2 linked regions of the Lytechinus pictus genome follow. The protein of the gene in region 1 purifies or fractionates together with the protein of each later gene. This does not show direct contact. Links are inferred from orthologs where the notes say so. Each region holds a gene or a part of one and is shown on either strand. Other genes may lie near its edges. The genes, in order: PIN2/TERF1-interacting telomerase inhibitor 1-like and telomerase reverse transcriptase-like.

The links.
Region 2: the proteins of PIN2/TERF1-interacting telomerase inhibitor 1-like (region 1) and telomerase reverse transcriptase-like purify together in Homo sapiens (co-immunoprecipitation; 3 studies listed by BioGRID and IntAct, with this or other methods). This does not show direct contact. The link is inferred for Lytechinus pictus from reciprocal best matches to the Homo sapiens genes PINX1 and TERT.

What each region holds. Positions count from the first base shown.
Region 1 is NC_087250.1:7,508,200-7,524,764, forward strand, and holds the start of PIN2/TERF1-interacting telomerase inhibitor 1-like, read right to left. Parts: upstream 8,256-16,565; 5' UTR 8,202-8,255; intron 6,446-8,201; 5' UTR 6,420-6,445; coding exon 6,323-6,419; intron 5,608-6,322; coding exon 5,445-5,607; intron 4,365-5,444; coding exon 4,250-4,364; intron 754-4,249; coding exon 1-753. UniProt on the Homo sapiens protein: Microtubule-binding protein essential for faithful chromosome segregation. Mediates TRF1 and TERT accumulation in nucleolus and enhances TRF1 binding to telomeres. Inhibits telomerase activity. May inhibit cell proliferation and act as tumor suppressor.
Region 2 is NC_087260.1:22,792,287-22,808,818, forward strand, and holds the start of telomerase reverse transcriptase-like, read left to right. Parts: upstream 1-10,191; 5' UTR 10,192-10,433; intron 10,434-13,690; 5' UTR 13,691-13,737; coding exon 13,738-13,841; intron 13,842-15,989; coding exon 15,990-16,110; intron 16,111-16,532. UniProt on the Homo sapiens protein: Telomerase is a ribonucleoprotein enzyme essential for the replication of chromosome termini in most eukaryotes. Active in progenitor and cancer cells. Inactive, or very low activity, in normal somatic cells.

The sequences.
Region 1 (16,565 bases):
TCTCTTACGTTTCTTCTTACCTGAGCTAGTCTCTGCCCTCTCTTCCTCCAGACCCTCTTCACTACTTTCCCTCTTACGTTTACTAGTCTCGCCACTAGACCTTTCTTCACTGTTCTCGGCAGTGTCATCATCGTGCGAGCAGTCCGGCGTTTCGGAATGTCTGCTCTTATCCTTCTTAGATTTTTTCGTCTTTTTCTTCTTCTTCTTGTCGCCGTTCTCATTGTGCTCACTGGCGCTTTCCGACTTGCTTTCATCGACGAGCCGCCGTTTCTTCTTATTCTTCTTTTTCTTCCTTCCAAGATCGATGCCCTCGTCTTCCTCGATGCCGCTCTCTCCCCGAACCTCGATCTGCTCCTCGTTCTCCTCGTCGGAGTCCCGAGCAGATGCCCGCGCCTTCTTCTTCCGCTTCTTCTTCTTCTTCTTGCTGCGATTCCTCTGGCCATCCTGCCCCTCTTCGCTCTCCTCCTGCTCCTCTTCTCCTTCGTTCCCTCCATCCAGTAAACCTGATGGTCCGGCGACGTCTACATCCGACCTCTGACCCTGCTCTGTGGCATCCCTGAATCCGAAGCCGCAACGAGGCACTTCTAGCTCGGTATCCGAGTGCGATTCGCTCTCCTGCCTGCGCTTTGCTTTCTTGAGGGTGCTCATCTTTTGTGCGAAGTATTCCCCGACGCTGCAGGAGCCTTTGATGGTGACGATACCATGGGTGATCTCTTTCTTCTCTTTCTCTTCTTCGTTGTCCGAGTTCTCTACCTGTGAGGCATGGAGATAAAATATGAATGACACCTTACATGTTTTTAATAAAAATTTTGGCCTGAATTCACAAAGGTGGTTTTGAAAACCCAAGATTGAGTCCATGGTTTATGCAGATTTCCAGTATAAATTACGCTTAATTTACCGCGTATATTAAAAAATGTCCAATGATCATGCGCGCTTTTGTCACAGTGCGCCAAATTGACGCCTGTTGCCATGGTTATCTACGTTATTTTATTCATGAGTCCACTGTTTTGAATTAATGAGTCCACTCTTAAAACAGTGGACTCATGTATAAAATAGTGTATCTAACAATGGTAACAGGCGTCAATTGGCGCACTATGACAAAAGCGCGCATTAGCATTGGACATTTTTAATACACGCGCCCGATACACGATAAATTAAACGCAATTTATACAGAAAATCTGCATAAACCAGGGATTCAACTGTGGGTTTTCAAAACCACCTTTGTGAATTCGGGCCATTGATTCACAGGGCTCGATATAAGAATTCAAAGGACAAGGCCATTATCTATAAGGGCACTTATATGAATGGTAGGCAGTGCTTACTCTAGGGGGGATCTAAGGCCATTTTCAATAGGACACATGCACTGGATTACTTTAGGGCACCGGGTGGGTGTTTCGTAAAGCTGTTCGTAAGTTAAGAGCGACTGGTGATCCTTTCTTACGCGCAAAACCATCGCTAATGAATATACCATTCGCCATAAGAAAGGATCACCAGTCCTTCTTAAAGTATTATTATTTTTAGTTTTGCTGGTCCAAATGTATTTATTTTATGCTGTTTATGATCTCAGAAGAGTCCCAAACAAATTTCATTGAAAAAACAATGAAAAACATTAGGGTCAGAGGCAGAAGGGGCACTTATATGCTTGTATTTTGGCCTTAAGTTTACAAATATTTGAAAGGGCGTCACTGCCATTCTGAGGGCATCTGAGGTCATGATCTTGGATGCCCTAAAATTAATTCGAACCCTGGATTCATGACTGAAATCTGCACACAATGTTCGCAAACATCAAATGCTAGAATCTTTTAATATAAGTATTGATCAAAATTGCGAGTCCACATACGGTATGCTTCCTTATGACATCACAAGTGTATCCAATATGTACATCAGAATCCTTGGCATGGCCTTCTAGAGGTAAACTGCCAATTCATCTACTGCCAACTCGTCCACCCACCACATGGTCTACTTCCATTTAGTCTAATGCCATTCCATCCATCAACATTTCATCTAACAACCAATTGGTCCATTAACCATTTGATCCAATCATCACTTCGTCTAATCACCATTTTGTCCATGACCAGTCCGTCTCATAACCAGTTGGTCTAATATCCGTTTCATTTTCATTCATTTTGCACAATTGACACTTTAGTCCAATTAGACCCAAATGGTATATGGACTAAATGACTATTGGACCAACTGGTTATCAGACGGAATGGCATTAGACTAAAAGAAAGTAGACCATGTGGTGAGTGGACGAACCGATGGTAGACCAGATGATAGTAGACGAGTTGGCAATTGGACGAATTGGCATTAGACAAACTGGAAATAAGCCCTTCTAGATGTCATCTCAGGTTTTACACACTAGGGATAAAATGTAGTCTGCAGTCAAAGACCTTTGGTTTTTGCAATTTGCATAATGCATAATGAAGAGTCTAAAGTAGTGAGACTAGATTCACAATGTACTGCAGTCGGCAGCCTCTACTAAAGATAAAGGCCCATATTCTGAAGTCAGGTTTAACTTAGACCACGGTCTAACTCTGTGCTAAAATTATGGGAAGCCAAAAGTTCAAAAATTCTGTTTATATTGTATATTTCTAATGTTTACAATTTGGTTTCCTTTTGCTTTCATAAGGAAGAAATATACTTCAGTTATCATTCCCAGACAATTATGAAAAATTTGGATGTCATATGAGTTAATAAATTGAATGTGTACTGTTAGGAATTTGTGCGTCAATTGGCTCTCCATAGTTAAACCACAACTTTAAACCAGGGTCTAAGTTAAACCTGACTTCAAAATACGGGCCAGAGAGTTTTGAGTCTCGTCTTCACTCTTAGACATGGGAATTTGTTAAAGTGTCACATCTGAGTCTGTGCTTGCAGACTAGGAGGTAAAATGATGCCTCCAGAATACTGCACCCTAAATGTGCGTAGTAGGTAGATTGCATAGAATTAAAGGGGAACCCAGCCTCGGTTATAAATGTTGAGTTGGAAAGGAGAAAAAATAAAGAAAACAGAATGGTGAATATTTGAAAGAAATCGGACAAGCGATAAGAAAGTTACGGCTACTTTAAACTTGCGATCCCTAGGACTATGTAGATTTCAAATTGGCAACTGGGTAATAAATTATGACAAGGGGCAAGGACAACATTCTCATAGGCCATGTACTTAATTATCAGGGATTTGTGGTTTTCTCCTAAATACCCATTCCCCTGGGGCAATAATTTAAATATAACCCAGGTAGTATATTGTTTTATGTCCTCATGAAAGAAAAATATAATTTGAAGTATGACTTTTTGAAAAAAATTACATTTTAGCCATAATATGTATTGGAGTACATGGAAGAGTAGTCCTTGCCTTACATCACTATGACATCCCATATGCGGCCAATTTGAAGTCTCCATGGGTATAGTGATTACCAATATTTACAACTTTTAAAAAATCATAACTTTCTTATTTATTGTCCGATATTGTTCAAACTTTCACCTATCAACTTGTCTGATTTTTCTTTTTTCCTCTAAAAACAAGTTTTTATTTGGGTTGGATTCCCCTTTAAAGTATGAATAGGTGACTTACTTGCTTTTGGCTACGTGGCATACTTGAACCCATTAATGAAATTAGTACATGAAATCTGGATTTATCATGGTTTACAATTCAAGGTACATATGAATAAGTTGTTTTTTCTGTTTCTGCCATGCAGGAAAAACAGAATTTCCTTTGTCATTTCATTTTTGAAAACACAAAAGCACTGCTTAAGCTCTGTGATTTCAGAGAGCTGAAACCATGCTGCATTTTTTGTTTTTGTATTTTTAAAAAATGAAATGACAAAGGAAAATTCTGTTTTTCCATTTTCATGACAGAAACAGAAAAATGACCTTGATTTTTGCGACCATGGATTCAAATCCATCTTTGTAAGTTTGAACATTCTGGCCCGTATTCTGAAGTCAGGTTTAACTTAGACCATGGTCTAACTCTGTGCGAAAATTATGGAAGCCAAACATGTAAAAATTGTCCTTACATTGCCTGTTTCTTATGCTTACTGTGCTCTCTCCCAACTCGTGAATGGTGAAGAAAGTTATCTTATTTATCTTTCCGAAACAGTTAAGAATGATTTGACCAAAAAATGAGCTGATACATTCATGCTATATTGTTAGAGATTTACGCAACTATTGGCTGTCCATAGTTAAACCACAACTTTAAACCAGAGTTTAAATCAAACCCAACTGCAGAATACGGGCCTCTGTGTCCAACTTACCGATTGTGTTTGAGGTGTAACCGGAGCAGAACTTGTGAGGCGGCGTCCCAGGATGCTGTTCATACCGTCCTCTCCATAGCGACTCATATCCTTGCCTTGTGTGAATTTCTTGTAACTAAAATAAATATCATACATTTAGAAATATTTTTAAAATGATAGCATATACAGAAACAGAGACACTTCATTAAACTGATTGTATTGATATCTTTCCCCCACATGAATTTCTTGCAAGTAGAAGTGAACATCACAAGTAGTAGTGGTATTATTGTTATTATTATCATTATTATTAGCATTATTATTATTATTATTATTATTAGTAGTAGTAGTAGTAGAAGTAGTAGTAGTAGTAGTAGTAGTATCATTATTATTATTAGTAGTAGTATTATTATTATTATTAGTAGTAGTAGTAGTAGTAGTATTGTTATTATTATTATTATTATTATCAATATTACTATTATTAATATCATTATTATCATTATTATTTCATTTGGTATAATCAGACATAAACAACATATACAAACAATAGGATAAGGAGAGTCACATGGAAGCCGTGAAAAGAAAAATAACAAAATAACTATAACCTGAAGGTCTTCCTTTTCAATCCATGTAAATTTACAAAGATAACATACATGTATTACAGAATAGTAAAACAAAGTTATAGTTGTTGAAGATCATAACACAATAGAATCAAACATATATATTATAAATCCTAATCGGATATAGCCAATACTCCAAGATATTGATACATCCAGGGTGATTTTCCTGGGACACGCACTTCCCATAGCAATAAGTGCAGCAGCTGATCCACGCCACTATTTACAGCTAGATAGCTCAGCTAATTGTGAAAATGTGAAATTTATTTCTGTAGATCTAAGGAATTTTAAAACTGTCAGTGGCTGACAGTTCGATAACTGATGGGGTTTTGAACAGTAGAGATGTTCCTGAAGCTGCAAAGTGATGATCAGCTATTCGAACAGAAAAATATCCCTCAGTGTGTCAGGGTACTTGGAAAGAAATAATTTTCATCAATACATGATATCACCGAATATCGGCTATATATGAGGAGAATTTAATATAGAAATAAATATTTCCACTTGACTGCCAGTTTTATCGTTTCATCATTGAAATGAAAGGGGATTTTCTGGAATCGCCGCGAGCCTGATGTAATTTTTCTTCTTGGTCAGATGTTACTCACTGGACTCTGCTGCGAGACTTCTTGGAGCGTTCTTCCAAGCTCAAGGCTTCTCTTTCGTTTGACGTAGAGGGCGCATGTCCCTCGTTGAGGGAGCTGAGAAGGTCGTTGAAATCGTCTTGATGAGCGATCCAATTGTCTTCTTGGCTAGCCTTGCATCCAATCCCTATCAAATTTGAAATATCATTTGTAACGATGATGAAAGTCAATTCAATCCATATTCACTTCACAATATCTAAGGTTTGCTCAATTAGAAAAATATCTGGAGATAATGATTATGATGATGATGAAGATGGTGATGATAATGATGATGATGGTGTTGATAAGAAAGATGGTGATGATGATTATATTGATGACGACGATGATGATGATGATGGTAATCATTATCATGATGATGAAGATGATGATGATGATCATGGTGATGATAGTGATGATGATGATGGTGATGACGATGATGATAATGCTGAAGATGATGATGGTGGTAATGATGATGATGAAGATGATGATGACGATGATGATGGAAATGATGATGACGATGATGATGGAAATGATGATGACGATGGTGTTAATAATAAGGGTGGTGATGATGATGATGACAATGATGATGGCAATGATGATTATGACGATCTTAATGATGATGATGATGATGATAATGATGATGCTAGTGATGAACGTTATGATGATAATGAAAATGATGATGATGATATAGTGTTGTACAAATGCACAGGTCCTTAACACGACATATATTTCTAATATGATTTTTAGATTTATTAACTTCGTTTTCCTGGTCACACATGTGTAAAGCATTATAGCTGAATACCCCCCCCCCCCCTCCCCCCCCCCCACCACCCCCTCTCCTCTACTGGCCAGTGCAAACTCACCTAAGTTGTTATTCTTGAGAGAAACTTTGACGTGTGAGACGTTTCCATCCTCTTTGATCCCAAGACCTTTGCCCTTTGACCAACCCATCTTCTCCATCAACTTCTGACCAAACTTGGAGGAATCTGAATGAACAGAACATAAAGAGAGATGGAGAGAGAGTAGGGGGTGGGGGGAAAGAGCGGGGTGGAGAGAAGTGGGAGAGGGGAAGAAAGAGATTGGGAGATGGGGTTAGGGTGGGGTGGGAAGATGTGTGAAGGGAGAAAGAGAAAGAAAGAAAGATTGATTGGGAGAAGGGGTTGGGGTAGGGTTGGGGAGAAGTGGGAGAGAGGAGAAAAGAGAGAAAGATAAAGATTGGGAGAGGGGTTGGGTGCAGAGAAATGGGAGGGGAAAAGAAAGAAGGATAGATTGGGAGAGGGGTTGGGTGGGGATGTTAAGAAGTGGGAATTAAGGGAGAAAGATAAAGAGGGATAGATATATTGGGAGAAGGGGTTAGGGTGGGGGTGGGAAGTGGGAGGGGACAAAGATAGATTTGGAGTGGGGGTTGGGGTGGGGTGAGAAGTGGGAGGGGAGAAAGGGAAAGATATATTGAGGGGAGAGAGAGAGAGATAAACATTTAGAAAAATTATTCAAACCTAAGAAAAGGATTGGAAACCGTCCTTATGTAATTTAAATGGATACTTGTGGCTGCTCTTGCATACACGCTTAAACCTCTGTATTCAGATCCAGTTTGCTGATTTTAAGATGTTTGTACATGGAAACAAGATGGCGGCGTAAACATTGGGCAATTCTCTTCCGTCTTTTCATATTTTTCTCATTTTTTTTATGAATTCTTGTTTAAAAATAAAATCGATAGCGTAGAAATGTCGGAAATGAAGTTGTACCCCATGTACATGATAGGGCTAGATCTTTTTTCTAGAAGTAGAAATCTTGGGGGGGGGGGAAGTTTCAGGTGTTGGGGCGGTACGTGCAGATACATGTATGAATGGGAAGGAATTCCTGGCTTCGACCTTCGTTGAGAGTAAGCATAGGTTAGTAAATAATTTTTTTTTACTCTCTAGAACTAAACTCTAAAGCCTCCTCCTGCCTGGCCTGCATGGGCTGGCAATACTATTATTACTAACCCAGGGAGCTCCCGCCTGCTGCGCGGGCGGGAGCCCAGGGGCTTACCGTGTATTTGACCATAGTCACCGGACTAGGGTGATTTATGGTCTAAATATTTCTCTAAATGAATTGTGAAAACAGAAAGTATACAATTACCACGATTATATGGATGAAGGTCTAACGAGTGGCAGTTTCCTGACATCTGGGCACAGACTGGAACCTCAAAAAAACGAAAAGTTCTCTCCTTCTACCCAGTCTCGATCGGCCATTTTGTTACGATTTTTAACAAAAATGGCCGATCGAGACAGGGAAGAAGGAGAGAACTTTTCGTTTTTTGAGGTTCCAGTCTGTGCCCAGGCAGATGTCAGGAAACTGCCACTCGTTAGACCTTCATCAATATAATCGTGGTAGGCCTAATTGTATACTTTCTGTTTTCACAATTCATTTGGAGAAATATTTAGACCATAAATCACCCTAGTCCGGTGACTATGGTCAAATACACGGTAAGCCCCTGGGCTCCCTGGGGCTGGGTTATAATAGTGGCATGGCTACCTTTTTCTTGAAAATCTGTGTTTTTTATAAGAGTGCACGCGCGGCCCACGTCCAAAACTGAAAAAACACCACTTTTCCACGCGGTTTCTTTTTGTCACGCATGTGTACAGCAATTATATTTGACTGCCCCCTCCGGGATGTAATGTAGAGCTCTGACTCTGAGCTCAAGCCCAAGCCTTGGCCTCAGCTCCGCCAACGCAGCACCGCGAAGGCAGCGGAGCTTACCTGCTGCTTAGCCGAGTTCACATACACGCATTTTATCGTATTTACATGTATAGTCACGTATTGTATTACCGGACGCGCATATTACTGCATTCGAAAACAATTTTGTACCGTAAGACTTCCGCAATTCAATTTCACAGAGCAATACATAGAACAGGATTGCAAAAACAAGGCGAAAAAAATCCAACTTTTACCTTATTTATCTCTAAAATGACAGAAAATGCTTAAAATATCAAATAACATAGTTTTGCATTAACAATTGATATATTTTCTAACGGAAATATGGGTCTGATCTGCCGAATTTCAATTAATCTCGTCCGCTCCTTCGATCGAATGATGAGGTGTGGTGTATTGTGGGTGATCGTCGACGGCTAGTTCTCAAGGTACCCGTGCGCGAGGTTTACCGTGAGCACCGTGAGTATAGAGCCGTCGACGATCGGCAGCGCATCGATAGAACTTGATGAGCGTCACGATACGAACGAGCATAATATTGGAAAGTTCCATGAAACATGCAGCTAACAAGAAAAAATAAAATAAGTTATCAAACACGAATTTATTACCAACATCTGCTCAGAATCGATATAAAAACAGCAAACAAAAACTTAGAATTTACTCATGATATTATATAAGAAGAAAAAATCACACAAATTTGTTCTTACATCATTATAATCAAGAATATCTTTACCCGTCCGGCGCGCGTCCGGAATCATGATCAGTAGAGGCGCACGGCCAATATTGGAGACTGTCTCCAATGTGGGAGATTATCTCCAATATCAGAGACTTTTGTAAAGAATTTGGGTATCCAATTTCAGAGACAGTCTCCAGTTTTGGAGTCCAATTTCCTTTGTTTACATTTGCTGCAAAAGGATTACCTTGGCGGCAAATAAAAATGTGATAAGCAGATTCCTCATGAAAAATTACCCCTTTTCACCGTCTACTTTAAAAATTCACCGTCTACTTTTATTTTGATAAGGGATTTTGTTGTCAATCACACACAAAACAAATGGGCTTCTGACCTCAGTGAGACAAAATTTTGGGTGGAAAAAATCATACTTTTGTTGGTGTTGTTTCTTTTGTCCTTTTGCAAAGCAAGTCTCCAATGTGGGAGATTGTCTCCCCTATTGGAGAGAGTCTCCCATATTGGCCGTGCGCCTCTACTGTCTGATGATGTAATTTGTCACGCACGAAAATAACTGTTTTTCGTGGAGGGGTATGCGGCAAGTGCGATGCAAAGAAAATGGTTGGTAAATATAAAATAATTTTACCATATTCATAATTTTCATAATATTTGGAATAGCAAGTGCGATTTTTTCTTGATTGTATTTCCTCTAGTGGTCATTTTTAAAGCACTGAAATAAAGGTGTCCGGCAATAGGATACATAGACCAAAAGCTTCGGTCTCTATTATGTTGGTTGTTCAGCTGAACTCCGTTGGCTTCACTCACCAAATACAGAGACCGAAGTTCTAGCGCGATCTGTACAGGGGACTCAATGGCCATATGTTTATGTACTTAAGATCGGATAAAACGGGGAAGTGAATTTGCGCGACAGCCGAGGTAAGTCACTGTTTTTGTTCCTTTTAACTTGATTTTTCTCCGTTTTTTGGCAATTAATGCCAAGAGGGAATATTAATTTGCATTTTGGTCGCGTTAATTTTCAAAATTTTTTTTCATTAAAGACAAAAATTGAAGAGCCCCGACGGGGGATTTTGCATTGCAAGTCCCCTAATGGTGGCTGCACGCTAGCGAGCACGTCCCGTTAAAGACAGCACGTTAGCCATTCTCTGATTGGTCAATTAAGGAAGTCCGATAGTGTGTGTGTTACGTGCAGGCTATGTGGGCTACGTGGCCGTACGCTCGGTATCGTTCGTTTACGACTAATGAGTAATATAGATTCGTGCGAATTTATTATTACAGATGATTTATGGGTTAAAATCATAGAGATGTATACTAATCTCTATGGTTAAAACACATGTAGATCTATTTAATGTTGACGATATCGTGAACAACGGAGGATCTATGAACCCGCGCGTACGAAGTTAGATGCGAGACCAGTCGTTTTTCGAAAATGGAACAGTGCAATTACCACCATTAGAGTACCAAATTCAATTCAAGGGACGCGAGCGCGAGTTCTGCAGCATACCATACGTGGAGTTGAAATTTGAAAACATATCAACAACATCAATTACAATTATTTTTTTACTTGGTGGAAGATTCAATGCACTAAGAGTTAGAAAAACGAAACATTTTAATTTTAGGGTAGGGTAGATAGGATTATTTAATTTTGTAAAAATATTTTCATCATGATAATTTTTAATATACAAGGCAAAAAGTGTTATAGTAGGCCCTAAATATTGTAATAGAATTTCAAATACATTTAATAATTTCATAAAGCCATTGCAAAACAAGATTTTATTTTAAGCACATTTAGACATCTACAAAAGTTTGCATAACCTGTTAATAATTTATGAATATGTCATGAAAATGGCAACACGGCTGTCTCTAAATGCTTTATACACTATATGTCAAGAAAATGGCAACACGGCTGTCTCTAATTGTCATATAAACTATATGTCAAGAAAATGGCAACACGGCTGTCTCTAATTGTCATATAAACTATATGTCAAGAAAATGGCAACACGGCTGTCTCTAATTGTCATATAAACTATATGTCATGAAAATGGCAACACGGCTGTCTCTAATTGTCATATAAACTATATGTCATGAAAATGGCAACACGACTGTCTCTAATTGTCATATAAACTATATGTCATGAAAATGGCAACACGGCTGTCTCTAATTGTCATATAAACTATATGTCATGAAAATGGCAACACGGCTGTCTCTAAATGCTTTATACACTATATGTCAAGAAAATGGCAACACGGCTGTCTCTAATTGTCATATAAACTATATGTCATGAAAATGGCAACACGGCTGTCTCTAATTGTCATATAAACTATATGTCATGAAAATGGCAACACGGCTGTCTCTAATTGTCATATAAACTATAATTATGTCATGAAAATGGCAACACGGCTGTCTCTAATTGTCATATAAACTATATGTCATGAAAATGGCAACGCAGATGTCTCTAATTGCTTTATACACTATTTTTTTAAGTGGACTTGTCCTTTAAGTAGTCAATTGATGGCTTTCAACCAGGATTATCTATTGTTAATTCCTACCCCAAAGCAGGATATAAAGCTGAATGTACTATAGTCCTTGAAGTGCTAATTGGTTTTCTGCTAAAAGTAATCCCTCTTTTGTTACTAGAAATACTTATTGTAATGACTTTGGGTTTGCAAAGTATAGAATTACCGTGAAGAGACTGCCTATATAATAATTACAGTTGAAGATACTAATATCTCAAATTCATTATTATAACCGCGTTTCAATTTGCATGGCAGTTATAGTCAATATAACATGAAAGGATGCTCCCGGCTGAAGATATATCTAAATAAGTAGAGTAAAATTCACAGCCTAGAGCAAAATGCTGTTTCATCAGAATCGGATAACAAATAATGAAGTTATTGAATTTTAAAATTTAGCAATATAGTGATATGCACTTCGTCATAAACATGATAAATAGTCCTATTTATTATGTGGGCTGCGGATATGATGTCACATCCCAACTTTTCGTTTTCTTATTACTTGAAATCATAATTGCTTCTATAATTTTTCATCCATGTGTAAATGATGCGTCTCCATTTGATGAAAATAAGTTCCAGCAATTGATAAATTAATGCACTTAATCAGTTGTCAGCAGTGTTGCCATTTTCATGACATAATTTTAATTCATATAGTAGAGAGAGCCGTGTTGCCATTTTCATGACATATAGTCTATATGACAATTAGAGACAGCCGTGTTGCCATAACCATACATAGATATAACCATATATTTTGACATTCTAAAAATGTTTTCATATCATTTACCTATAATATATAATATATTAATGTTATAATATTTTTATAATATTTTTGTGCTAGCTGGGTTTATCTTCTCCGTGCATTTCGATCTCTCTTTGATATGCGGTACTTTTTATATATAGGTGTGTTATTTATTAGATTCTCATATTTTATCAATTTATCGCGAATTACCATCAAGGTTTTAGAAGATAGTGTATCTAATATAGATTTTTTCAAAAACTTACCGTCATTGTCATATGAAAGCAAAACAAATTGTGAAGGGAAAGTTTATGAAGAAGAATGTTTTACAGTCCTTAAAGGAATGAAACAAAATAAATCATCATGGAATGACGGACTGACCGAAGGGTTTTTTACTACATTCTGGACAGAAATAAAAGATATTTTACTAGGGGCATTTAACAAGGCATTTGAAACAGGAGAACTAACTGCATCACAAAAACAAGCTGTGGTCATTCTGATTGCCAAAGATGGGAAGGACCCTCATTTACTTAAGAATTACAGGCCAATATCATTATTAAATATTGATTATAAAATTCTATCTAAAGTCTTGGCAACAAGATTAAAAGATGTTTTAGAAGACATTAGTTCAGTAGATCAAATAGGTTTCATGAACGGGAGAACTATTGGAGAAGCAATCAGAATAATATACGACGTAATATTCCATGCGACAAAAAATGACTTACCATAGGGTATATGATAGCAATTGACTTTCAAAAGGCTTTTGATTCGGTGTCCCATGATTTTCTTAATAAAATATTACATTTTTATAACTTCGGTCCACAGTTTTGCAGATGGGTGGAAATTTTGTACAAAAACTTATTAAGTTGTATTTTTAATGGAGGAATGTCAACGGGATATTTTGATGTACGTAGAGGCGTAAGGCAGGGGATCCCCTATCCCCATGCCTGTTTATTTTATGTTTAGAAATACTGACACATAATGTAAGATACAATAGGGAGGTTAAAGGTATTTTGTTTGGAAAGGAGGAAATAAAAAAATCATGTATGCAGATGATATGACCCTTTTTGTTCAAGATGAAGATTCAATTAGAAAAGTCAAAGGTTTATTAGAGAATTTGGAAATATTTCAGGATTTGGTGTTAATAAGGATGAAACAAAAGTTCTCTTGATTGGGGCTTTACAAGGAAAATCTTATGAAATACCTTTCGGCCAGAGAGTGGATTTTGTTAAGATATTAGGGGTGTTTTTTTCTTCGAACAATGAAGTAAAAGAAAATTTGAATTACAAAGAAATATTAAGTAAAACAAAAAAACTTTTAGGTTGGTGGAAACAGAGGGATTTGACGTTGATGGGTAAAATACAGTTACTAAAGATATTTATATATTCAAAATTCACATACACAGCGGCCCTCATGCCAGTTCCAAAATGGGTTTATGAGGAGTTAGAAAAGATAACCTTTGAGTTCCTGTGGGGTGGAAGAAATAAAATTAATAGAAATACGATGTATCTGGATTACCATTTGGGAGGTCTGAAAATGATGAATTTTGAACTGTTAATAAAAGCACAGAGAGTTATGTGGGTCAAAAAACTTATGGAAAATAACGAAATGAAATGGAAGTTATATTTTAATCGCGCTACACAACATGTAGGCGGAAGTTTCATTTTTTTCTTGTGACTATTTACTTGACCTTTTGAATTTAACATTGCCAAAGTTCTATACAGATCTTCTGGAAGTGTGGATAGAAACGAGGAATTTCTAGCAGAAATATGAACCTTACAAAGGAAATGAAATAATGTTTAATAATAAATTCATACGAGTTAACGGAAAGTGTATATTTGACAGAAAGCTTTTTGACAAAAAATATATAGATTGAAAAAAAATATATATAGATTGAACCACATAATGGATAGTGACGGAAATTTAAGATCTCATGGATACTTAAAACGACGAGGATTAGAATCCAATGACATTGAATTGATTGGCAATAAGATCTATGGTACACTTCCGGTCAGCTGGAAGAGGAATATGAGAACAGATAGAGACACAATTCTCGCTACCCCAAATAGGAACAAAAATCTCATAATGCGCGAGACGAGATAATTTTCACCCCGTCGGGTCGTCATCACCACTTCCGGTTTAGAGTCATGCCCGCGCGAGGTTCGCGATACTGAGTTTTCCACCACGCTGAAATCGATGCCAATCAGCGTAATATGTACAGAGTATAATACTTTTTATTACATTTGGTCAGTTTTGATTCCATTTGAATTATAAATAAAAATAAAAAATATATTTCACGTAAGAATAATTTTTATTCATGCTTTTATTTGGTTATAAAAAAATCTAACAAATAATGAATATCTTAAAATTTTGCATTTAGCGACCGGCCTGACATCACGATCGTATTCAACTAGACACTAAATATATTCAGCATTCATTTCGTTCAATTTTTCGTCGACCACAAAATGGATAAAAATCAGTTTCGGAACTTAAAAAAAATCTTAACTGACAGATGAATACCATGCAATGGAAAGCGTCAGGCAGAATTAGTGACTTTAGCAGAAAAGGCTGTAAAACTGTTAGTGAAAGAGAGGGTTGTGATCACGAACTTTCCGAGCGAAAGCTACGTTGTGTTGTTGTGCATGACGGCACTGTTGATCTAAATGGCAAATGCAGTGCGTTGGACTTCCGAACAGGAAGTTGTAATACCGAAAAAGCTATCCCATAATGCAATGCACGTTACAGGGATTTTCCCGGATCTCGGCGAAATCGCTATTTGGGGTAGCGAGAATTCCTGATGATCCTGACATAGTTTTTTTATTAGGTAAAAATGTTGTAGCAATAAATGATATTGCATCAAAAAAACTTTATACAACATTTCTTTACCAGAAAGCAATAACACCTGGAGTATTCACAAGACTAAAGTGTAACTACCGTCTTTCAGATAAAGACACTAGAAAATATTTTTAAAAGACCAAGGCAATGTACATTAAACAGCCGACTTAGAGAGTTCCAATTTAAATTCATACACGGAATCATTTATACAAATCAGCATATGCATTTGGGAAAGTTTATTCTAATCTGTGTAGCTACTGTAAAAAAGAAGAAGAGACTTATCGTCATTTATTTTTTCAAGTGCGAAAAAGCAAAATTAATATGGAGAGACTGCGAGAATATTTTTGACTTTGTTTCTTTCACCAATCTTACTTGGGAAGACATATTTTGGGGATAAAATTAGCAGATCAAGGAAAAGAAAAATTGGTTATAATCACTTTATAATCCTTGTGAAGTATTTGGTTTTCAGTGGTAGAGAAAACAATTCAGAAATAGTTTTGAATAAGATTAAAAATAAATTAAAAGAAAATGAATTTGAAAAAATAAAATTGGCATTAAATAGAAATAAATACCCCCTTCACTTAAAGTATACATCCAAAGAAAATTCACGAAAGTGATGATTATAGACAAATTATATATGAATGGAAAGGTCTTGTCTTTTTATACACAAATATGTCACTAAAAAGTCTTATTGATGTCGTGGAAATGCAAGAAATGAAATTATTAGAGACCATTCTAAGCCCCCCAGCCGCCCCCAGACCGACAGTTCACGCAGTGAAAACAGTCGAGAATAATGACGTCACACAATCATCGAGCTCATCATCCCTCTGTGCATAATACACTGAATCACCTTACTGACCTCTTCAATATCTTCCGAATTTACCGTTTTCTTCATGTAATGTGACATCCGAATTCTGTTTTCGACAACTTCAGACTATAAGGGAACCAGAACTGTGTTATTTTGCCCGTTTTTTATTGAATTGTGAACTGGAAAGATCGATTTTGTCCACTCGACAGTCTTCGTTGTGTTGCTCTACTAACTATTGAAAAACTCCAAGCTGCACGGTCCCATTCACTTGCTCCCGATGCATGTTGCAGGCTACGCTGTTTGATCCAGTCAAAAGTCAAGGTAAGCATGTTTGGAAACTGTACTTGTTCTGACGATGCATTCAGGTCAGATGACAGATACAGATCTGATATAAGTTTAGAATCATGCATTTTGGCATAACTACTATTAAAATTAAAAAGTTTTTATTTTAGAAATAATGTTTTTGCACAATTCCACCCAAGGGCACTCTAGGCGACACCCCAATACTTACCCGTGCTAATAAACTGGGACTCCACTCACGCGCATTTGGGCCGCCCTAGCTTAGAACTAAGCAATATTATCTAGAAATTGTTACATTGTAGTCATTAAATATGTTCTATTAAATAAATTGATAATGTTTAATCGGTACTCACCGGTTCTTTTGTTGCATTTTCAGACCATTTCTCACAATTCTTCGTAAATATTTGCGGCAAATTTTGTCGCCATAGACAGCTTAGCATCCATCTTTATTGATAAATGGAGCGCCCTTTACGATAGTTGTTAATGCCGCGGAGAAATCGTTAGGCATTTTGGCCTGTGTTCAAGGCGTTCTTTCTGT
Region 2 (16,532 bases), on another chromosome or scaffold:
GCAGGGGCGTTATACGGTAATGTATACGTGATTCAATTCAATTCAATGTTTATTTTTAAAAAAAACATGAGTCGCAGCCAAATCAATGGCTGAATTGGTCATGTATTAAAAGTACAAACAATTAAAAGACTCGTTCCATTTTTCAAAAATTAAAAAAAAATAATAATCTTGGTAAAAACTTACAAAATGAATATGTATGTAGTAAATAAGGCAAGAATACTTGGGCAATGAAAATAAGTAGACATAAGATAATGAGGAAGTGGTAAATTAAGGAGAATAAAACAAAATAAGCAAGTTTTAAAAGATCATTAAAGTATGTGGATATTCAATAGAAGTGTTACTTTCCTATTAATTAAATAATATAAATTTTTATTGCAAGTAGGCATATTTAAGGTATTGCTTTCAAATGAGTCTTTATTCAGGAGATTTGAGAAATATGATATGGGGCTATTGCGGAATCGGATTGAAGGAGGTTACCATGTATTAAATGTTGGATGTTTGGTTGAAGACGTTGCGAAATCCAGGCTGAGTTTCTCCCTTCTGAATTAAAGAATGAGATGATAGGCAAGCACTGGCATAATAATCTGTGTAGTTTTGGCCCAACATGATTCTACAAGCTCTTTTTTTTATTTGCTCTAAACTTTTTAAATTTTTCTGTGTCAGTCCACCATCAAAAACTTGAGTGCAGTATTCCATAACAGGACCATATAGGATATTTTGAGAATGTCAGAACATTTTGAAAGGTTCAACTTAATGTGGTTTAGGGAGCTCCACTGATCTATATATATTGGACATTGTAGAAATGTTAATTCGGTGTATATATTTTTTACGACATTCCAACAAAGTAAGATCGTCTTCATATTTATATAGACTGATATATATTCACTAGCATCGTTGATCATAATCAGGAAGAGAATAGAACCTAATTTAGTGCCTTTGGGGTACGCCACCGTGATTGGGTAATTAGACAAAGTGCCTGATATTTTTTTACACGGTTAACGATTCTTCCCCAAAAACTTATAATCATTATATGACATTGATTATTTAATGATGCAAGATCGTACATTGAGTTTGATCAACTTTCTAACGATGTTATGATCCAGCCTATCAAAAGCCTCGGTGAAATTAGTAAACACAACCGTGGATAGACTCTTGCTATGTTATATGTGAAAACTGTGTATTATCATTATTGTATATATTTTAAGTCAACTTTTTTTTCATTGCTCATCGTTTTAAATGATAGTAGTTTTACCTCTTTCATATCTTAAACCCATTTATGTTTTCAAAATGTGGGATGGAGACCTTTGCCAGTTTTCTGACATCTGGTGCAAGTTTGTCTATGGGAATTGCCGGTTTTGGCGGAAGAAATCTACTGGAGAACAGTGCTGTTTTAAAAAACGCATTGGCCAACTTGATGACATTGTCGCTAACCCTTATCCAGTTCTTGATCACATCTGGAGAAGCGTCCCAATGAAGAGAATCGCTGTAAGGAAGTCCGGTAAGATCGCAGAACTTCTGAAGCACATCAGCGGGGTTGGTCAACAGATCATCAGTGTTGATGACGATTGGGTTGGGATCCAAGTTGTCCCGGACGTAATTCCAAAGCTCTGTTATTCCGCTGTAGAATTCGTTCGCGTTCATGACAGGGTCACCGTGACCGATGTCGAAGGCGCCTTCGTCGGCGGCATCCCCTGAGCGGATTCCAACATTTGTCAGGTGCTGATACATCGCTTTCATGTAGGATGTGAACAGTTTATGAGGTTCCCGGATGAGAAAGACATGCTTGAATCGTTTTGGTAGGTACTGCCGTCATTTCTTATCCGGAAAAGCCATCTACCCGTTCTTGACAAAGATATACTTACTGGTGGATGCCTCAAGTTCTTTCTGCACGTTATGGTATCTATAAGGAACCAAACCAAAAAGGGCGTATTTAAATTGGTGATTGTGTTTCTCCCACGCTCAGGATGCTCACGCTACCACGTCATCATTTCTTGTTTCGTGTACTGAAACTTGTGCTATGCTACCTAATTTTTTCTTCCTAGTTTCTTGTCATTTCTACTTCCTTTTAGTTTATTTTCCTTTATTTTATTATTCGTTATCATTTTATGCCATGTCTGCTACTTCCAACTTGTACTAGTTCTTCTTCCTAAGAGTAGTTAGCTAGAGTTGCCAATGTTTTGAGTATCTACGCTACAAGACACTTGCATAAAGCGGTTGAGATTGTTCGTGGCATGATCCAAGCCATGATCCGTACAGGAGAACTTTGACAATCAGCCATTTTGATTTCCAATCATGACTCGCAATTGAACTACAGGGAAACTCTGTGTCACTGTCCTCTATCCGTTTTGATTATTTTGTTTTAAGCAGTCTTCCCTGTCCATGTGATCGCGTTTTTTTTTTCGTTTCTATTTTCATTTTGTTTGTTTTTTTTAGCAAAGGGCGAGTTCCATACCTAATTCAAAATAAAGACTCATTTTGGATACACGGATTGCAACGTATTTCCTAAATTATACAATTAAATAGAACAGTAAATTAATCGTCAACTTATATCAAAATAATGTTATGTGGGAGCTACCTTTAACTTACATCTATCAAATACTTCATGCGTGTATACAGAGTGATAGCGATTACAAAGTCCAAAACAGAAGTTGGTTTTTATAGGGACAATGGCTTTTTAAGAAAATTGGCTTTTTACGGAAATGTAATAATGATGCATCAGTAAAATAGAATTATTATCAATGTTATTATTGTTATCAGTATTATCATAATTGTTATTGCACTGTACAATATCATTATTTTTATCATTGTTATTATCATTATTATTATTATCATCATCATCATCATCACCGTAGTAGTAGTAGTAGTAGTAGTAGTAGTAGTAGTAGTAGTAGAGTAGCAGAATTAGCAGTAGTAGTAGTAGTGGTAGTAGTAGTAGTAGTAGTAGTAGTATAGTAGTAGTAGTAGTAGTCGTAGTTAGTAGTAGCTAGTAATACTAGTAATATTAGTAGTTGAAGTAGTTGTAGTAGTGGTAGCAGTAGTAGTAGTAGTAGTAGTTGAAGTAGTAGTAGTAGTAGTAGTAGTAGTAGTAGTAGTAGCAGCAGTAGTAGTAGTAGTAGTAGTAGTAGTTATTGGTGTTGTTGTAGTACAGTAGTAGTAGTAGTAGTAGTAGTAGTAGTAGTAGTAGTAGTAGTATAGTAGTAGTAGTATTCGTAGTATTCGGAGTAGTAGTAGTAGTATTATAGTAGTAATAGTAGTAGTAGTAGTAGTAGTAGTAGTAGTAGTAGTAGTAGTAGTAGTAGTAGTATTTGTCGTATATTAGCAGTAGTAGTAGTAATAGTAATAGTAGTAGAATTAGTAGTAGCTATATAGTAGCAGTAGTTGTAGGGCGACGGTGTCACAATGGCGGGAAGTTTATTTCCTTGAAAGAACTCGATTCTTTCCTTACATGCTTTACTAATGTCCCTTTTTTAAATGGATTCCCGCTTCTCAAAATAGAATAAAGCAGTCATAATAATCTGGTGACGCACGTATCCAAAGTTATTAGAATGATGGTTTAGTAATTATGTCGACAATATTTGATTCTTTATATCGTGGCCAGAAGGAATATGTATTTTGATTGAATTTTTTTTAATGGGAGATCTTGAAAGTCGTGTGGTCGGCTAATCAACAGATGAGCACATAGGTTGACAACAAGAAGGAAAAAAAAAGAAAACGAAGAAAAGAGAATAGAAAGGAAAATAGATTCAAAGAGCGAGGTATGACCACAACGGAAAACAGGATGAAAATGGATAAGGAAATGCCCTATAAGACCTGCCCTATATTTAAATTCCGCCATATGTAAAAGAACATTTCCCAAGAGTGCAACAGATCCCCTCTGTTGCCAAAACCAAGTGCGTATCATATTTTTGGGTTCATAAATGATGCAGATAGCCGCGAGTGGTCTTGTAATGATCCACCCCATTATCTCCATCGTTAATTCGAGAAGAGGCGTCCACCTCCAGCACCTTGACTTCTCGACTGATTATCATCATGGCGGGGGTGTACAATAACATGCAAATTGAAGCGATGGTCACTGTACACACATCTTACAACAATATCTTGTTCGAATCGATTCGATTACACGTGGGGCTGTCACCACGGTTACAGATGATATCATGAAACACAACTTTAGTTCACTGCAAGCAATAACCTATTAAAAGGAAAAGAGGGGTAAAATAACTATAATAATGGTAATAATATTAATGATAATACTTCTAATAAGTATAATTATGATAATTTCTTCTAAAGTGTACCACGATGAGGCAAATAAACTTTTCCAAACTGGACCTCTTTCTATAACTACTTCTCCTGGCATTCACGTGGTATCGGTTGATAATCCCCTTGGCTCTTCTGATCGATTTGTGATATGTATGTAGCTAACTACAAGCAAAACTGGCTGTACGAGAAAGCTGACTGGGATAGTCTGCGCTCGTTCCTGTTTCAAGCTGACTGGTCCTCCCTTTGAAAGTCACATAATGCTGATAGTGCTGATATCGCCTAGAACAGTTAGAAAGAAAACATTGGAGATGCAATGGACGTTTTAATTCACTACCATCCAGGACTATCGAACACACGTACTCGGATAAGCCATATGGTTCAATGGCAGATGTCATGACACTGTTATCCAAACAGAAGGCTTACAAACTGGCAAAAGAGCCATACAAGTCATCTTTGGCTCCTATTATTATGGAATCTAAATCTAGATGTCAGCGTACCATAATTATGCAGAGCACGTATAGTTCTCACAAAACCTAGAGCAGGAACTCAATTAAGCATGCCAGCAATAAGCAGTGGTGGAAACTGGTCAAATATGTAACTGCAAGCAACAAGTCATCTGCTGTCCCTCCACCGAAAGATGACAATGGCCGTGCAGATGTTACAAAGTTGAGCTCCTTATGCAGCACCTTCACTGCAAATGCGCATCTTGATGATAAGGGCCAAGTTTCTCCTATAAGCTGAAGTTGAAAACTGGTGAATCTGTCTCTACCATCAGCTTCTGGCCTAAGGTTATCCTCAAGAAACTACGAAATCTTGACATATCCAAGGCAACTGGTCCAGATGGCATCAGCCACCGTACTTAAGAACTGTGCACTTGAGCTTGCACCAGTTCTTTCAAAGCTATACCAGTTGTCCTTGAGCAGAAAAACCACACATTCAGAGTGGAAAACTGCCCATGTTGTAGATGAGCCCAAGAAATGGAACAGCTGTATATATGCATCGAACTACAGGCTAGAGCAGCTGTACTCGCACTTCTTGATAGGCAGCGGAAAGCGATCCGCCTCTAGAGAATTGAAGACAAACCAAGGTTTGCCTTTATCCACTTGAGCACCGGATAAATGTTGCATCTCTCTGAACATGTACCTTCTACCGTCACTTCTTCCTGAAACCATCCGATGAGTTGTCTGCATGGAACCCCCCCCCCCTTGGCCCCCAATGTCAGTTTGACACGCTCTACTGCAGCTGCCCATCCCTAAAGAGTCACTGTCCCAAAGTAAAACACTGTCTTGTCAAGGACAGCTCAGCTCTGGAACTCACTTCCTGTCAACACATTCATGGGCCACTTATTATTATTTTATGATCACAACATATCAGACCCAAAGAACTATAACAAAAAAATAATAATAAATAATAATAATGAAATAATTGAAAAAAAAACAATAATAATAGTAACTATAATAGTAATAATCATCATCATCATCAGTTAATATCTTATCTGTTTTGTCTTCCATGATTTGGAATAATAATAATAATAATATTCCGCATTTATATAGCGTTTAACACATCGGAACGACGTCTCTAAGCGCTTTACAGATATATTATTACCCCGGTCATCGGATCCTTGCATGCCCGCATACAATGTATGCACCTTCTCCACTCCCTGGGGAGCATTCCAACAAGAGTTCTAAGACTCAATTGCTAGGCATACTACATCGGCTTTCGCATCCTACCGGGTACCCATTTAACACCTGGGTGGAGAGTGGCAAATTGTGGATTGACGCCTTGCCAAAGGACGCTAGGCCATGGCGGGATTCGAACTCACGACCCTCTGATTACAAGGCGAGAGTCAGAACCGCTACACCACGGCGCTTCCACGGAATAGATCCCGTCATCTGATCATTTCATCTAAACATGACGACATCCCATATCTCATCACACTGATCATCTCTTCGAAGGGATACCACCATGAGATGCGATCCAAGAATTAACTCGTCATGTCATCTTTCGCTAAAACGATGTCGGCTTCCAAAGATGATTATTTCATATCTTGCTGGCACGTTTAGGTTATAAGATTTAATAGAACACTGTCTTTACAATCTAGAGAACTGCACGTTGCGATGTGTTGGACGTCACACAATAAAAAACTGTTTTTCATTCTGACGTATTTATACAAGCTCTTTAAGTCACTGAGGAGCGAAATCTGAAAATTGAGTTAATTGCCTTCTTCCCCATTAGGAATAGGTCTTAACCTGGAATGGAGCTTTTGGTTTTCTGCTGCGTACAAGGAAACGTCGTCTGTCGGGAATTTAGATACAATGGTAATGGATCATCTCGAGCAGTAGATAAAAGGTCTCTCGTTTTAGGCTTTCCCATGATGGAAATATTCACTTTTTAAAAAAAAAGGCACATAATTGGATGTAATCTTGTTTCCAAAGCATTGCACGACCTTCTATACAAAGGCAGTATTTCGGTTTGATTTACTAATCAATATTGTCATGGTTAATATCATATCAATTGTTTAAAATATTAAACTAACCAAATCAAATAAAATCAGATAAAAGTAAATTATCAACATTATTTTTTATGTACAGTAGTACACTAATATAGTCTCAACCTTTTGCTCTTTTAAATAACAATAGTGGAACGCCTCTGGCAGTCTCGCCTACGTTACGCGATTCAATATAGCAGCAGTGCTGACTTTGAAAAAACAACTATTGAATAATTATTCACAAAAAATAACATCCATATGATAATGAAATACTATGTTAATTGACCCTAAATTTATGTGACCTGAAACTCATACAGGATGTTCAAAGATACATGATTACCCTTATGTCCAATTAATTTTCATGAACTAAATCTATAAACTTTCAAAGTTAAGATGAAATTCAGCAAATACCCCAACAGGTTAAAGTTCTTTGACCCTAAATGACCTTTGACCTTGATCATGTGACGTGAAACTTGCAGAGGGGATGTTTGATAATACTTTATCAACTTTACATCCGTTACATACGTTATGCGATTCAATATAGCAGCAGTGCTGACTTTGAAAAACAACCATTGAATAATTATTCACAAAAAATAACATCCATATGATAATGAAATACTATGTTCATTGACCCTAAATTTATGTGACCTTAAATTCATGCAGGATGTTCAATGATACATAATTACCCTTGTCTAATTAATTTTCATGAACTAAATCTATAAACATTCAAAGTTATGATGAAATTTAGCACATACCCCAACATGGTTAAAGTTATTTGACCCTAAATGACCTTTGAGTTTGATCATGTGACCTGAAACATGCACAGGTCACAGGATGTTTGACAATACTCGATTACTCTTATGACCAGATTTCACGAACCAGATCCTTAAACTTCTACAGTTATGATGACATTAAAAAAATAAACATTCGTTAAGATTTCGGTGTTGATTCCCACATGGCCTAGGTTCATTGACCCTAAATGACCTTTGACCTTGATCATGTGACCTGAAATTCAGGCAGGATGTTTCGGAATACTTGATTAGTCCTACCGTTAAGTCCAATTGCTTCTTGAACTGGGTCCATATACTTCGTAAGACATGATGACATTTAAAAAAATAAGTAAGTTGGTTAAGATGTCAATGTTGGCCAGTGGCGTAATGAGCCAAATATTTTCAGGGGGCTCGAAATGGCGTATCGCGTAAAATTGATAATAAATTGCGAGCGATCTAAGCGAGTGAGAAAAAAAAATCGACATTTTTATTACAAAAATCCAAGTTTTGTGATAAATTGTTCACCATTATCCCTTACCTTTTCTCTTTTTCTTCTTGGTCGTGATTTTTTCTGCCCCCCTCTCCCACTGTTTGCACGCCCATCGACGCAGCCGCCGCCGTCGAAAAAGCGGCGCCTATAGTCTCGCTCTACTATGCAGGCGAGACAAAAGCTATATATAGATCGCCCATTCTTTATTTTTCATGAAAAAGCATTATTTTTTTTTTCATTGTTTTGTAACGTCTTTTAATCTACCTGTGTGATAACTGCGTGCGTTTCATTGCATTGCAATGACCTGCTTTCTTTTTAAAGAATATAGAAAATGATGACACAAGCAAACGGTTAAGCTGGCTCGTATTATTCAGATTTATTATTCGGATTTAAAAACTTTAGAAAAGTCTATCAACAAATGAATCCAGCGTGTTGATTGAAAATCATTATAAGTTGAAGATATACTTGATTATAAGAAACCACATAAGATCTCATTTGCCGCATGATGATATCTAGAAAAAAATATGGCAAAATGTTTGATGCATCCTGGAAAAAGAGTACAGAGAAAAACTCAATACTATTGTATTGAGGGAGAGTGGAAATACTCTCATTTATTTATTTCAATAATACATGTATATACATGTAAAAACATACAAATATCATACATTATTTTAAACATAAATATACAAATATAATCATGAAACATTAAGATGAGATTTGAAAAAAAAATAATGAAAGAAAATGGTATCCCAAAAAGCCTCAAAGCACTGGCGTAAATCCGTGTTGATGGGTGGGGGGGATGACTGAAATATTTTGGAATTTTTTGCAATCATGTTTTTAGATATGCAAGGAATTGTCATTGATATGTCCACAGTGGCGTACCGTGGGTCACGGCATTGGGGGAGGGGGGGGGGCACCAGCAACATTTTTGAATCACTGAGTGAGTGCGCTAAGCGCGCGCAGTTGCCAGTTATACTGACCTAATAGAGAAATTTTAAAGACAATGTCATTAAACGGATATGTATCTCACTAATCAAATAATGCGAGCGCGAAGCGCGAGCTGAAATTTTGTTATATTCACACCTAAAAAGGGACATTATAATCAAATTTGTGTAATCATGATAGGAACCTGTCTCGCTAAACAATGCGAGCGCGAAGCGCGAGCTGAAAACTTAGATAATTCAGACCTGAAGTGGGGCAATCTAAGGTTTCTTTGTAGGAATTAACTAGGACCATACGTATTTCATTAACCAAATGATGCGAGCGCGAAGCGCGAGCTGAAAATTTTTGATATTCAGATCAGAAGAAGGGACATTTTATGGACTGATTTTAGGAATTCATGAAGAGCAGACATATCTCACCAATCCACTAATGCGAACGTAATCACGGACAGGAAATGTTTCATATATACGAAGACCTTAACATGAGGCAATCACTTTTTGAGTCATGAAAAAGAAGCATATGTAACTACGTAAAACAACGATAACTCAAGTGCTAGGAAATATATTTGGTTTATATTGACTTGAAAACGAGATGTTTTAGTACAACAGGATTATATATCTCGTTAAACAGACAATGCGAGCACCAGGAACAATGAAGACGTAGGCCCTGGGCAAATTATGTTTCATAAAGTTATGATAAAAATGTTTCTTATGTATATATAATGTAACATAACATAATTATAATGTAATATAACATTATAATGAATAATATCTTCTTCTTTCCCACTTTGCTTCTCTTCCTTTCTCCCTATTGTCTCCTTTTCCCACTTTCCCCGTTTTTTATTTGGTCAGCCGATGGGGGGGGGGGGCCGGGGGGGGGGGTGTGCCCCCCATGCCCCCCGCGTAGTTACGCCACTGTATGTCCATATGGCAAATACCCTCCAATATTATTATCTTTTTTACCCCATGATGGTTAATGGTTTTATTAGAGATTACATTCAAAATGTTTTGACATTCCATCTTAATCCCTAATTCCCAAAGACCCCAACATTGATGAATTGGAAGAAACGGGGGTTTCTCTTCAATGTTATGATAAGGACATAAGTATTTCGTTTGGAAATGGTGAACTGGCTCTTTATTGTCATTTTATGATTCAATAATATTGTTTTATTTGTTAAGCGGTATTTTAGGAAGAATTTTCACCAATAAAACAATTATCTCTTGTGATTTTTTTTCATTTCTTTCGTAAAAACTGGGGGGGATGTTTGTACAGGCCATCCCCCCCTCCTCGAAAAGTGGGGGGGATATATCCCCCCCATCCCCCCCGGGATTTACGCCAGTGCCTCAAAGGCTTGCAAAAAGGGAAACCAAGAATGATCCCGCGGGTAAATCAAATACCCCAAATATGCGGCCGTATTATATTTGTGAAGCGATTTCAGCGAACCAACTGATGCAGTTCAACCTCAATCATCAAGGTGCAATTTCAGGTGAGGTGAAATACCCAAAAATATTTAGGATCTAGCGCCAGGGCTAGTAATATTATGCTAGGTGATGCCACCATCTCCGCCGCGAATCCGCCGTAATTGGAAACAGAAATGGAACATTTTAAAATATAATAAAGTGTAAACTCTAAACGAGTAAATGGCCACAAATATAGGTTAGGATACCTCATTATCATCAACGCATGCGAATATTACACGTACGGTACATATACAATTCATCACGATTCCGTGATACAGTAATTCGAAATGCACAAGACTAAAGAGGTATGGCAATTAGTTCCCCCAACAAGTCTGCGCAATTCTTGTAAAAGAAGAAATGCAACGAACACAAACGCTTGCAACACATAAGACAGATATTTATAAAGACAAAATGGTGGAAAAAGAATGAATTTTGGGCATTTTATATGAATCATAATATTGATGGCCTCATAAGTCATAATGCAGCCTTTACTTTTTAGTTTCTCTTCAAAATACCTGAATCGTGTGCAAAGTGAATGGGTGCGCAGACATGGGGGGGATGGGTGTCCGGACACTATTTTTTAAGCCTTTTTTTTTTTTTACTTTGGATTACACTAAAATATTATGAATTCAATAATACTAGTTGTCTTCTCTAATCTTGTTCTCTATAATTGCTACCATTTTGTATACCCAGTGGTTGTGTGTCCGGACGGGTTGGGTGTCCGGACACATGACTTTTACTCTCAATTTTGAAAAGTTTACAAGCAATGTCTTTAATTCTTTTTAGCACAGAATATAAGAAAATATTATAAAGAACAAATATTGATGGTGAAAAAAAACTATTCAACCTATATTTTTGGTTTATTCCTGAGATAAAAACAAGGCTTCATTTCTGTTACGTGTCCGGACACCCAACCCCCCATCCTACTAAAAATTGATGAAACTTTGCTTGTAAATTTTTCCAAATTATGACTTTCTAAAATTGATCGTCCTGACATAGCCTTGAGGACTCCCGGGGAGTGTTTCATCAACATTTTGGTCTGACAAGTTGTCAGATCTGACATCTTTCATTGATTCTGATTGGCTGAGAGGCACTATTACTATGGTAACTGTTGGAAATAAAATGGGACTTGATAAAACGTCTGACAAGTGAAACGCTTCCCAGGTCTGATATTTTTTTATGTATTTTGACATGTACTTCTACATGGAGCCTTGACACTCTTTCCATAGACGCTGCAGCGAGACCTACACGTCCAGATGGATTTCCCTAGGAAATCCATAGTTAGAGGGTGAAATTGGTTTGTAGGGGTGAATTTTATTTATCTATGAACCTTCATGCGCCTAAAGTGTATAAAGGGATAAAAATTATTTCACTATAAATGGTAAAAATGAGACGTTTCTTACCAGGCCGATCTCCTGTAGATCCCTCGATCCGTTTGTCAACAAAGCAAAGTCAATAGACCTGACCCTTGAACTGCTTCCTTATGACGTACATGTACATCCGAATAGCGATGCCGTTTTGAAGAACAATTTATAGAAAAAAAATATTTCACAAATTTCAAAATTTATTACCTGATTATAAATAATTATGTATTAGATTTTACTATTTGTGAAACAATAATTTTTATCTATAAATTGTCCTCAAGGCTAGTCCTGACACACAACAACTGGGTAGACCTCTATACCATTTTTTTTTTCAATCTGAAAATGACTGCCCGAGGTTTTTCCAAGACAATCCTATAGACCCCATTTCTTTCAATTTTTTATGAGATATTTGGTACACTTACGTACTCATAATATAAGGAACATTATTAACTTAAAAGATTTATTGAAATAAAAAGAAATTCATATTAAAAACTCAAGTCGTTAGGTGCGTAGACTTGGGGACCCAGGAAGACCCATAGCACATTGGTAGTATGAGGACTGTTTTTGCTAGTTATCATTCATGCCATGGTTGTAGTTCGGCCTAGTTATGACTTCTGTTAATGTTTTATCATCATAATTAGATCTAACAGATCTACATCTAGGCCTAGAACCCCCTAAGTCTTACTTAACTCTCCTTAATTTTTGTCGCTCACCCAGCCATGATTTGTATATGTTTTTACGTCTAACGTTAGATCTATATCTTTAATATTATTTTTCTGATCAAGCCAGGCATGGTCTTTTCTTGTTAAGCCTCTGTCTTTGTTTTACTTCTAGCCAAAGTCAGTTTAGATCACCTCGTTTCCCGTTTATCCCATCAAATATGTCTGGGTCAAATGTCAATCCATGTCAAATCAACTAGTGTTTGTCACCCGACCCCTCCGATTTTCTTTATACTCACACCAAATGTTCCCCCAAGTGTCTGACGGAAAATTCCGAAATATTTTGCCCCATGGTCAAATGGTTGCTAAGATACAGCCTTCCTTTCGCAACTGACAAAGGAATTAGTAGAACACCTAAATAGAGAAGAATGAAGATGACAAAAGAGAATGAGAGGAAAGGAATTCAGAGTGGAAAGAATGGATGGCAACTGAATATAATTATGAACTTACATAACCTAAGTTCAGACTGCAAGGGCAGTACTGACAGAAATGTAAATGAACTTAAGTCTGGACAGAACAGAAATGTAAAACTGCGTGGTGGCAAAGATAGCATGATAGGAGAAATAAACAAATAAGAAAATGCCAAAATAACTATCCTACACTAGTAATACATACAGTATCAGATGCTTAGTGATTGGTCTGAATTTGTGAGTATATGTAATGAGGATACATAGTGTATATTCACCACTATGATACACTCATTGCTATTTTTATTGTCCAGAGTGTGTTGGAGATGAAAAAAGAGTGTCATATGCTCTTCTTGCAGTTCCACCCTAACCTTAAGTTCAATAGCGAGAGTTGACCTACCCATGGGCTTCCCACAAGAAGGGACTTGGGGGTAATTTTTACAATTAATTTTTTATTCAAATATTGAAAGATGGGGCCTACATCCTAGGCAATCCAGCGATGCAAAAATTATTTCGAATTACAAGTAAAACTCAAAATATCAGCAAATTAAAAAGGGTATAATGAAAAAAATAATTGTGAAAATCATCCCTAAGTCCCTTTTTTACAGGAAGCCGACAAAATTTAATTTTAGAAAGTCAAAAGGGGCCTAAGCTTTCGATCCTAGCAGAATCTTCGTCGGAGGCAAAATTTAATTTTGTTAAGATTACACCTGTGAAGTTGAACTCCGAAATTAGCCATCTAACTCCAGTAGTCACTCAACATTAACACATTAATTGCTTTGCTTCTATTTAGACTGGGTGATTCATTAATTGAATGATTCTGACTCCACCCGACCAACCATGGATATCCTGGAAAGAATCTATCCCAAGGTTTCTCGTCTGGAAGACTTTCTTCAAGTTCTGGATGGATGTCCACCCCTCTACATCCCCAAAGACAAAGCTGGGTAAGGAATTTAAACTTGTTCAATGTTTCACAAATACAATAATAATAATAATTCATAATCACATTTTAAATTTTAGTATTTGTTAAATAATAATTTTTATCTATAAATTGTTCTTCAAAATGGCATTTTGTAACATCGCTAATCGAAGGTACGTCATAACGAAGCGGTTCAAGGGTCAGGCCTATTGTATTTGCTTTGTTGACAAACGGATTGAGGGATCTACACGAGATCGGTCTGGTAAGAAACCTCTCATTTTTGCCATTCATAGTGGAATAATTTTTATCCCTTCATACGCATTAGGCATTTGACGGTTCAAAGATCAGTAAAATTCACACTTATAAACCGATTTCACCCCGTAAATATGGATTTCCTAGGGAAATCCATCCGGGTGTGTAGGTCCCGCTTATGAATGTATGGAAAGAATTTCAAGGCTCCATGATGAAGAAATATTTGTCAAAATACTGAAAAATATTATCATGGAGTCCTCAAGGCTAGATTATTCATTTGAATTGTGTTTTTCATTTCCATCCACACAAAAATGCGTCCACGAATGACTGGTATATTTCAAAGTTTGCCAAGTTCATTGTACAACATCCTCTAAATATGCCCCAAATATGCATTCAAAGTAGAAATGCAACAAATACCTTCATAGAGTGTTCGTTCATTGATGTGCTATTCTAGTCACCTGGTCTATTCAATTTCTTCATCCTGCTATGTAAGGCATGCATTTGTAATATCTTGCTTTGAAATCTGCCTATCATTATGAAAGAAATGAATGGTCATTTGACCAAAATTGTCCATGAAGTAACTACGAACTGGTCTATTGGAGCAAATATCCCAAAAGAATTTGTGTGAAAAGTGGTGGCATATGGTACCCTGTTTAGTACCCCCTTCTCTCTGCCTACATGTTGGCCTATATGCTGGCCTGTCATCATGGCCACGCCTGTATGGGATGATTCTCAAGATTTAACATCATTTTGCAAACCTCACCAGATTCACTGAAAATGACATCAATTAGAAAGAAAAAAAAATCTCCCAAGCAGTAGGATTAGCCAGGAGCCTCGTAGAGACTAAAAATCATTTACTAACGTGTGCTTAAGTAACTCTCCAAGGAGCCAGGGATTGCGTCCCATTCATGTGCGTGTACCGCAAAAAAAAAATGAAATTTTTGCCCCCGACATTTCTTCTTTCCTTCTATCTAGCCCTAAATCATGAAAATGGGATAAAACTTCATTTCCGACATTTATATGACATTGATTTCATTTTCAAACAAGAATTCATTTAAAAACCGAGAAAAATATGAAAAGCCGGGGAAAACATGCCGCGATGTTTACGTCACCATCTTGTTTCTTTTTGTTCTTCGCCAAGATACATGACGCATATCCTCCACCAGCAGGTCCAATAACAGATAATTATTCGCTTTTTGTTACAGATTTGATTATTGATGTTACAAGATTAAAACTACAAAATACTTTTATGTGCAGCAGGTCCAATTTGAGAAAAATATTTTTTTAATTCATATAGTTTACATTGATGTCTATGTAATAATTAACTATTAATGAGTCATTTAAAGAAAAAATAAAGGTATTTGAGACTCAAATATATATTTTTTTCATTATTTACAGAATGGTAATACCTATGACATATCAAAAATACTTTTTTGACCATTTTTACCCTGTTCGCGAAATTGGACCACTTAATGAAATGCGACCATGTGTATTTGTGTGGTGGGGTAAGGCTGTAAGAGTAATATACTTTTTCAACACTTCAAATTTCTCAAAGTTAAATATAAGAATGCTAAACATGTTTTAATTTTTTTAAAGAGTGTGGGAGACACACATGACACCGAGCACAAAAATTCCTGCGATTAGGACTCTCTTTTTTTTTCATTTCCAAATGTTGGCAGGTCTTTTTATACAATGTTTCTAATCTACGAAGCGCTGGATACTAGATGTATTCCCCCTGTTTTGGCATGGGGTGCTCGAGCTTTCACAGAATTTCTTCAATACTAGGTAACCACCTGGTTGGAGAGTTACAAACGTAGGCTTGAACCTTGTACCTTGTGGTACAAAGTCCAGAGCGTTTTCCGCTGAGCCACAAAACCTCTTATCTTTTTTTTGTTTGTCATCTGTTCTTCCTCTATGAAAGATACAAGGCCTTCCTTCACTCAACTCTGGTAGGAATCCCATCCAGTCATCTGAATTATAAAGGTCCTCTGGATTATACACAACACTCTGATCATATGGAGGTGATCAACAGAGTCATGAGAGTAAGTGGTACATTTCTTCTTAATTCTAAATCTTTGGCCCGTTTCTTTAGAAATCCTGTCTCTGCGGAAAGCCAAGTTGACAATAATCCTCTGTGAACAGATGTATATCCTTTCCACATGCAAATTTCAATGTGTCTGCATTTTGTCTATTAAAGCAGTGTATTGTGTAGGTTGGCTTTCTATAGAGATTTTGTCGAGCTAGAGTTATGAAACAGACCCCTGTTAGTCCGACAGTCCACCTGGTTCCGGGGGAGGATGTTTCACAAAGATTTAATTATGACATAAGTCGCAGTTGCGTGCGGTATAAATGTCATCTCCCCATTGGTCAACTCATACTAAGAGGACACACGTTACTCTGTATTAACTCTTAATGTGCCATTCGCTGTAATCAGCAAGGGCCATATTTTTTTTCAAAGAGTCTA